2 linked regions of the Saccharomyces cerevisiae S288C genome follow. The protein of the gene in region 2 purifies or fractionates together with the protein of the main gene of each other region. This does not show direct contact. Each region holds a gene or a part of one and is shown on either strand. Other genes may lie near its edges. The genes, in order: RPI1 and PHO5.

Region 1 (3,876 bases), on a different chromosome or scaffold from region 2:
AGTCGTAAAACTAAAAAGTCTCTGCCCCCACTTTCCAGAAACAGATATCTATATTTTATAACAAAGACGTACGGCATCATTTAAAGTATCTAAAATTTCTTTGAAGAGATCACATAAAAAATTTTCACCTTCTTTTTCTCTTTTTGGCTGTCCAAGTAAACAAAACATAAACTGCTTCAACCAAAGATAAAACTTGAGAAAATCCAAAATGAACAATAAGGACATTTCTTGGTGACAGATTCGTTAAGTTTCATTATTTTTTTCACTTATTTTATAGAAAAAAATCGGATGTTGAATGGGCATAAATATAAATGTATATATAAGTAATATTGTCTTGTTTCCCTGGAGAAGTAAATGAAAAATGAAATAGCATACAAAACAGACATAAAATTTAAAACAGAAATGAAATGAGCATTTAAAATTAATTAAAAGGTGAAACGACGAATTGAAAATTATTGATGAGGGTGAAGGGAAACAGGGAATGTGCTAGAATTAAAGGGGTAGAAAATTTATGGTGGAGACTTCCCGATACATACTTTAATGTTGTTGCATAAAATTTTCTGAGTCTGAAGTTGACATATTATGCAACGGTTTATTTTGTTGGTAAAATTTATGGTTTAATTGCTTAACTTCATTTTTTAAGCAGTTTACTTGTTCCTTTAAATTTTCAATAGTGTTAAACATTGTTTGCCACATGTATATGACATCTGTAGAGAAAACTGGGGAAATTTGTTCTTGTTGTGCATCGCGCGGTAGCTGTATAGGCATTGTTTGCTGGAAAAATGGCGATGGTGGAGTTTGCAGGATTAGATTGTCTGCCGGTGCTGATGACAAAAGGGAAAATTGAGCCGGGCTAATGAAGGATGGTTCTCCTTTGGTATCCAAAGCTGGCAAAGATTCTAATTTATCGAGGTTGATACTTGACTGAATATGCTCTGGTGTACTAAAAACATTAGTACTATGATTACTATTCCTATTAATATTATTGCTATTATTATTGTTGCTATTGTTACTATTGTTAATATTATTATTGTTATTGTTACAATTATTATAATAATGGTTATTAATATTATCATTAGTACCATTCTTGTTCGGCTTCAATGTTTTTTGCGACTTGAGTATAATGTTTCCGTTTACAAAACTAAAAGTGTTTTGTAACTGCACTAGCAAATACTGCATTCTAGATAATTTTGACGGATCAAAATTTAAGTTTGAGCCTGCCTCTTGTTTTGATTTTTTTTTCTTTTGCTTGGATTTCTTTGATGGATGCACTTTCAAAGACTTTGTGTATAAGACTTTAAATCTATCATGACATTGACGAGAGTTTCTCTCGTACCCATATTGTTGGAATAGGATTTTTGAAATTTTTTTCCAAAAATTCTTCATAGGCTTGAAATATTCTACGAATGTTAGTAATTGAGAATTATTCATTATTGTAGTAATGAATGCTATATCCTCAGGCTCTTTCCATTTTTTCCTTATCTGTCTTGCAGACGAGGAGGATGAATTAGAGTTGTTTAGCTCATTTTCGTCAATAGAGCCTGAGTTGGAGTTGGAGTTCGAATTAGAATTGGAGTTCGAATTCGAATTTGAACTGGAAATTATTCTTGGAGTAACTAAAGAGCAGTCCGAACCCGTTTCTTCATTAAAATTTGAAGTAATGGGTGTGTTTAAATTTGGTGAATAATCAGGGAAATTTTTGCTTATAGTGCTAGACTCATCCATTAGGTTCAACTTCGGTTGAAGATATTCCAAGTACATTTTATAAATATCAGTAATAAAATGATGAGAAAAAAAAAAAAAGACTTAAAAAAAAGGACTGAGAAATAGTTAAACGAATACGATAATATGATATACTACCATGAACTGTAGTCTGGATAACCAAACGGAAAAAAAGGAAATACAAAAAAAGTCAGATTGTAAGGAAAAAAAAAGAGTAGTTTCAGTATTACGAAAACTATTAGATCTTTCTTTAATTTGAACAAGAAAACAAGACTATAAAAAAAAATACTCTTTAGGATGCAGACATAAAAGAACAATACGACCGTCCCTTATTTATATATAGTCCATAGAAATAATCTCAACCAATATAATATGCAAGAAAATAACGAAGTAAGGAACAAGCACAATGGTACGCCCGGTCTTGAAAAAGTTTAAAACAGTACTCGACCCTAGGCGCTAGGGTGGGTGACGCATTTTAACTTTGCAACAGAATGCCATATGCGGTGTTAACCTCACAAGATCGGCTCTACTATCTGCAAGCTGCGGCAAATACCAGAGAAAATTCCATTCCCGTCGACAAAATTTAACCGACCCCCCCCCCCCCCAATTTACGTTTATCAGCTAATCCAAATGTGGAAGGGCAACATTCTCGACGACTCCTTTTTCCGTAATTTAAGTTTGCCCAGGCAAAATCTTATACTTGTTTTCGTAAGAGAAAGATGCGCAGATCCTTTAAGGTTACCTTCAAGCAAATCCAGAAGCACAAATGGCAGGGGAGAAAAGACATGAAGCAGGAGTAGTCAACCGCAAAAACCCCCGCGGGCTTGTTGTTCTGCACATTTTTGATGTGTTTGTTCCTAAGACAAAGTCCTAACTTAGGGTAGTAAGTGACTATATTCTGCACGCTCTTAAAGCAGCCACCTCGTTTAATTTTGCATGCTTATATAAGCTTATAAACGAAGTACCTGAGGACCTGCATCGGCCGGCCCATGTGAAAAGGAAGTATTTACTTTTTCTTCTTCTTTACTATGGAAATAGCTGGAATCCGACTATGCATATGCGTAAGAAAAGAAAATGAAGGAGTTTTCACAGGAAAGCACACTTGCATACTGGGCACAAGTGAGGAGAGGGGCCTGTAATGCTTCTGTGTTTAAAAGACTCCGAAATTAGTCAACGCAGATTTGCAGATGCACGCAAGAATACATAATCAATCACAGTAAGCACATCTCCCCAAGGAAAGAGTAAATGCCTTCGAGCCAGCATTGTGGTCATGCGAGATGTCTAAGAAAAATACTTCGATAAGCACGAGGAAATGTAATATGTCTATCTACCTTATTTTTTTTACAATAAACATATAATAAATCCCTTATCTGGTCACGTGAATTAAACTTCGGGTGTGTTGTAAGAATGGAAGGAGTAAGCGAAACTCAAATTGAGGCCACTTACCACTTCCGGTCGAGCCCGGCCCAGAACCAGTCGTCGGCCAACTTTTTTCTTGGAACAGCGTTACCGCACCTACGCGAGAAATAGTAGATTATAGATAAGAAATACAAGGAGAGGGGTGTGGATGAGCTTTTTTACAAAATAGTGTAAGGCGTCCGGGAAACCCCAAGAACGTTTTTTGACATCCACTAACAGGATTACCCGTCATAGATATACTGGTGCCATTACCCGTTAATGGCATCTTGTATATTTCTTTTATCTTTCTTAACATTCCTGAAAATTGGTAAACAGTAAAAAGAAAAGAAAAAGAAAGAAAAAACATGTATTATTTTGAATTTACTGGAAAATAGGCAACCATTGATTTTCGTTTTTTTATCGTTCTCATCTCTAGCTCTGGTCAGCATTTTTTACTTTATAACAACAAGTTTTTCATTAAAATCCATAGTAGCACAAGGTAAAGGGAAACAAACATGTCATTTCTATGTGGGTCAGCTTCAACGTCAAATAAACCGATCGAAAGAAAGATCGTTATTTTGGGCGACGGTGCCTGTGGTAAAACTTCGTTGCTGAATGTTTTCACCAGAGGTTATTTTCCCGAAGTTTATGAGCCTACTGTTTTTGAAAACTATATCCATGATATTTTCGTTGACAGTAAACATATCACGCTATCGTTGTGGGATACTGCGGGCCAAGAGGAATTTGACAGGTTAC
Region 2 (3,762 bases):
AGGTAATATAAGCAGCAGATGTATTTCTACCAACATTTGGACCCGACAGTACTAGATCAAACGGTTCATTAGACAATAGGTGCAGCCCGATGTTTGCGCACGATGCTGGAGTTCCATCGATTAATATCCACTCAATTGTATCTTTCGGAATTTCAGCATTGAGAACATAAGGTAATTTAGAGTTTTCTGACCTAATTTGTGGCTGGATAAATGGGCCCCAAAAAGTATTGTCTTCAGCGTCAACTTTAGAATATATGAATTGAGCTGTCAAATTTTTACCAGCAAGATGAGCCTTACCCACCCATGATTTCTGGACATGAGGTACACAAACCGTGATTTTCCATTCAGGATAATTTCTTTTAATGTGCTGAATAAAAGGTCTAATGTATGGTGAAAACTGATCACTTAAGGGACCATCATCGTTAGTTATTAAAACCCGCATCTTAAAAGAAATATTTATTGTTTCCGAATTTTTAATGTCAGAGATCAAGTCAGAGCGGCTGCCTTTACCGTAATTTTCAATTGCTAAATACAATGTTCCTTGGTTATCCCATCGCCAATAATTTTTATTTTTACCACTGTTGAAGAAGCGAAAGAAAAAAAAAGGGAAAATCAAAACATTCCCTGTGCACTAATAGAAGAAAACAAGAGACTCCGTCCCTCTTTAGTGAGAAAATTGACCAGAGATGGTTTTTGTCCATCTTTTCGCAAAAAATTAGTTCTATTTTTTACACATCGGACTGATAAGTTACTACTGCACATTGGCATTAGCTAGGAGGGCATCCAAGTAATAATTGCGAGAAACGTGACCCAACTTTGTTGTAGGTCCGCTCCTTCTAATAATCGCTTGTATCTCTACATATGTTCTATTTACTGACCGAAAGTAGCTCGCTACAATAATAATGTTGACCTGATGTCAGTCCCCACGCTAATAGCGGCGTGTCGCACGCTCTCTTTACAGGACGCCGGAGACCGGCATTACAAGGATCCGAAAGTTGTATTCAACAAGAATGCGCAAATATGTCAACGTATTTGGAAGTCATCTTATGTGCGCTGCTTTAATGTTTTCTCATGTAAGCGGACGTCGTCTATAAACTTCAAACGAAGGTAAAAGGTTCATAGCGCTTTTTCTTTGTCTGCACAAAGAAATATATATTAAATTAGCACGTTTTCGCATAGAACGCAACTGCACAATGCCAAAAAAAGTAAAAGTGATTAAAAGAGTTAATTGAATAGGCAATCTCTAAATGAATCGATACAACCTTGGCACTCACACGTGGGACTAGCACAGACTAAATTTATGATTCTGGTCCCTGTTTTCGAAGAGATCGCACATGCCAAATTATCAAATTGGTCACCTTACTTGGCAAGGCATATACCCATTTGGGATAAGGGTAAACATCTTTGAATTGTCGAAATGAAACGTATATAAGCGCTGATGTTTTGCTAAGTCGAGGTTAGTATGGCTTCATCTCTCATGAGAATAAGAACAACAACAAATAGAGCAAGCAAATTCGAGATTACCAATGTTTAAATCTGTTGTTTATTCAATTTTAGCCGCTTCTTTGGCCAATGCAGGTACCATTCCCTTAGGCAAACTAGCCGATGTCGACAAGATTGGTACCCAAAAAGATATCTTCCCATTTTTGGGTGGTGCCGGACCATACTACTCTTTCCCTGGCGACTATGGTATTTCTCGTGATTTGCCTGAAGGTTGTGAAATGAAGCAACTGCAAATGGTTGGTAGACATGGTGAAAGATACCCTACTGTCAGTCTGGCTAAGACTATCAAGAGTACATGGTATAAGTTGAGCAATTACACTCGTCAATTCAACGGCTCATTGTCATTCTTGAACGATGATTACGAGTTTTTCATCCGTGATGACGATGATTTGGAAATGGAAACCACTTTTGCCAACTCGGACGATGTTTTGAACCCATACACTGGTGAAATGAACGCCAAGAGACATGCTCGTGACTTCTTGGCTCAATACGGTTACATGGTCGAAAACCAAACCAGTTTCGCCGTTTTTACCTCTAATTCTAAGAGATGTCATGACACTGCTCAATATTTCATTGATGGTTTAGGTGACCAATTCAACATCACCTTGCAGACTGTCAGTGAAGCTGAATCCGCTGGTGCCAACACTTTGAGTGCTTGTAACTCATGTCCTGCTTGGGACTACGATGCCAATGATGACATTGTAAATGAATACGACACAACCTACTTGGATGACATTGCCAAGAGATTGAACAAGGAAAACAAGGGTTTGAACTTGACCTCAACTGACGCTAGTACTTTATTCTCGTGGTGTGCATTTGAAGTGAACGCTAAAGGTTACAGTGATGTCTGTGATATTTTCACCAAGGATGAATTAGTCCATTACTCCTACTACCAAGACTTGCACACTTATTACCATGAGGGTCCAGGTTACGACATTATCAAGTCTGTCGGTTCCAACTTGTTCAATGCCTCAGTCAAATTATTAAAGCAAAGTGAGATTCAAGACCAAAAGGTTTGGTTGAGTTTTACCCACGATACCGATATCCTAAACTTTTTGACCACCGCTGGTATAATTGACGACAAAAACAACTTAACTGCCGAATACGTTCCATTCATGGGCAACACTTTCCACAGATCCTGGTACGTTCCTCAAGGTGCTCGTGTCTACACCGAAAAATTCCAATGTTCTAACGACACCTACGTCAGATACGTCATTAACGATGCTGTTGTTCCAATTGAAACCTGTTCCACTGGTCCAGGGTTCTCTTGTGAAATCAATGACTTCTACGACTATGCTGAAAAGAGAGTAGCCGGTACTGACTTCCTAAAGGTCTGTAACGTCAGCAGCGTCAGTAACTCTACTGAATTGACCTTCTACTGGGACTGGAACACTACTCATTACAACGCCAGTCTATTGAGACAATAGTTTTGTATAACTAAATAATATTGGAAACTAAATACGAATACCCAAATTTTTTATCTAAATTTTGCCGAAAGATTAAAATCTGCAGAGATATCCGAAACAGGTAAATGGATGTTTCAATCCCTGTAGTCAGTCAGGAACCCATATTATATTACAGTATTAGTCGCCGCTTAGGCACGCCTTTAATTAGCAAAATCAAACCTTAAGTGCATATGCCGTATAAGGGAAACTCAAAGAACTGGCATCGCAAAAATGAAAAAAAGGAAGAGTGAAAAAAAAAAAATTCAAAAGAAATTTACTAAATAATACCAGTTTGGGAAATAGTAAACAGCTTTGAGTAGTCCTATGCAACATATATAAGTGCTTAAATTTGCTGGATGGAAGTCAATTATGCCTTGATTATCATAAAAAAAATACTACAGTAAAGAAAGGGCCATTCCAAATTACCTATGTTTAAGTCTGTTGTTTATTCGGTTCTAGCCGCTGCTTTAGTTAATGCAGGTACAATTCCCCTCGGAGAGTTAGCCGATGTTGCCAAAATTGGCACTCAGGAAGACATATTCCCATTCCTGGGTGGTGCCGGGCCATACTTCTCTTTCCCTGGCGACTATGGTATTTCTCGTGACTTGCCTGAAGGTTGTGAAATGAAACAATTGCAAATGCTTGCCAGACATGGTGAAAGATACCCAACTTACAGTAAAGGTGCTACCATCATGAAAACATGGTATAAGTTGAGCAATTACACACGTCAATTCAACGGCTCATTGTCATTCTTGAACGATGATTACGAGTTTTTCATCCGTGATGACGATGATTTGGAAATGGAAACCACTTT

Evidence for each region.
Region 1: the proteins of PHO5 (region 2) and RPI1 purify together in Saccharomyces cerevisiae (affinity purification with mass spectrometry, with the first as the bait; one large-scale study listed by BioGRID). This does not show direct contact.

What each region holds. Positions count from the first base shown.
Region 1 is NC_001141.2:136,117-139,992, forward strand, and holds RPI1 (Rpi1p), read right to left. Parts: upstream 1,762-3,876; coding exon 538-1,761; downstream 1-537. Other genes in the region: Rho family GTPase RHO3, read left to right, coding at 3,636-3,876. UniProt on the Saccharomyces cerevisiae protein: Negative regulator of the Ras-cyclic AMP pathway. Negatively regulate the activity of normal but not mutationally activated Ras proteins. The down-regulatory effect of RPI1 requires the presence of one of the two Ras GTPase activators, IRA1 and IRA2.
Region 2 is NC_001134.8:428,716-432,477, reverse strand, and holds PHO5 (acid phosphatase PHO5), read left to right. Parts: upstream 1-1,526; coding exon 1,527-2,930; downstream 2,931-3,762. Other genes in the region: PBY1 (putative tubulin tyrosine ligase), read right to left, coding at 1-442; acid phosphatase PHO3, read left to right, coding at 3,377-3,762. UniProt on the Saccharomyces cerevisiae protein: Partially mediates extracellular nucleotide derived phosphate hydrolysis along with NPP1 and NPP2.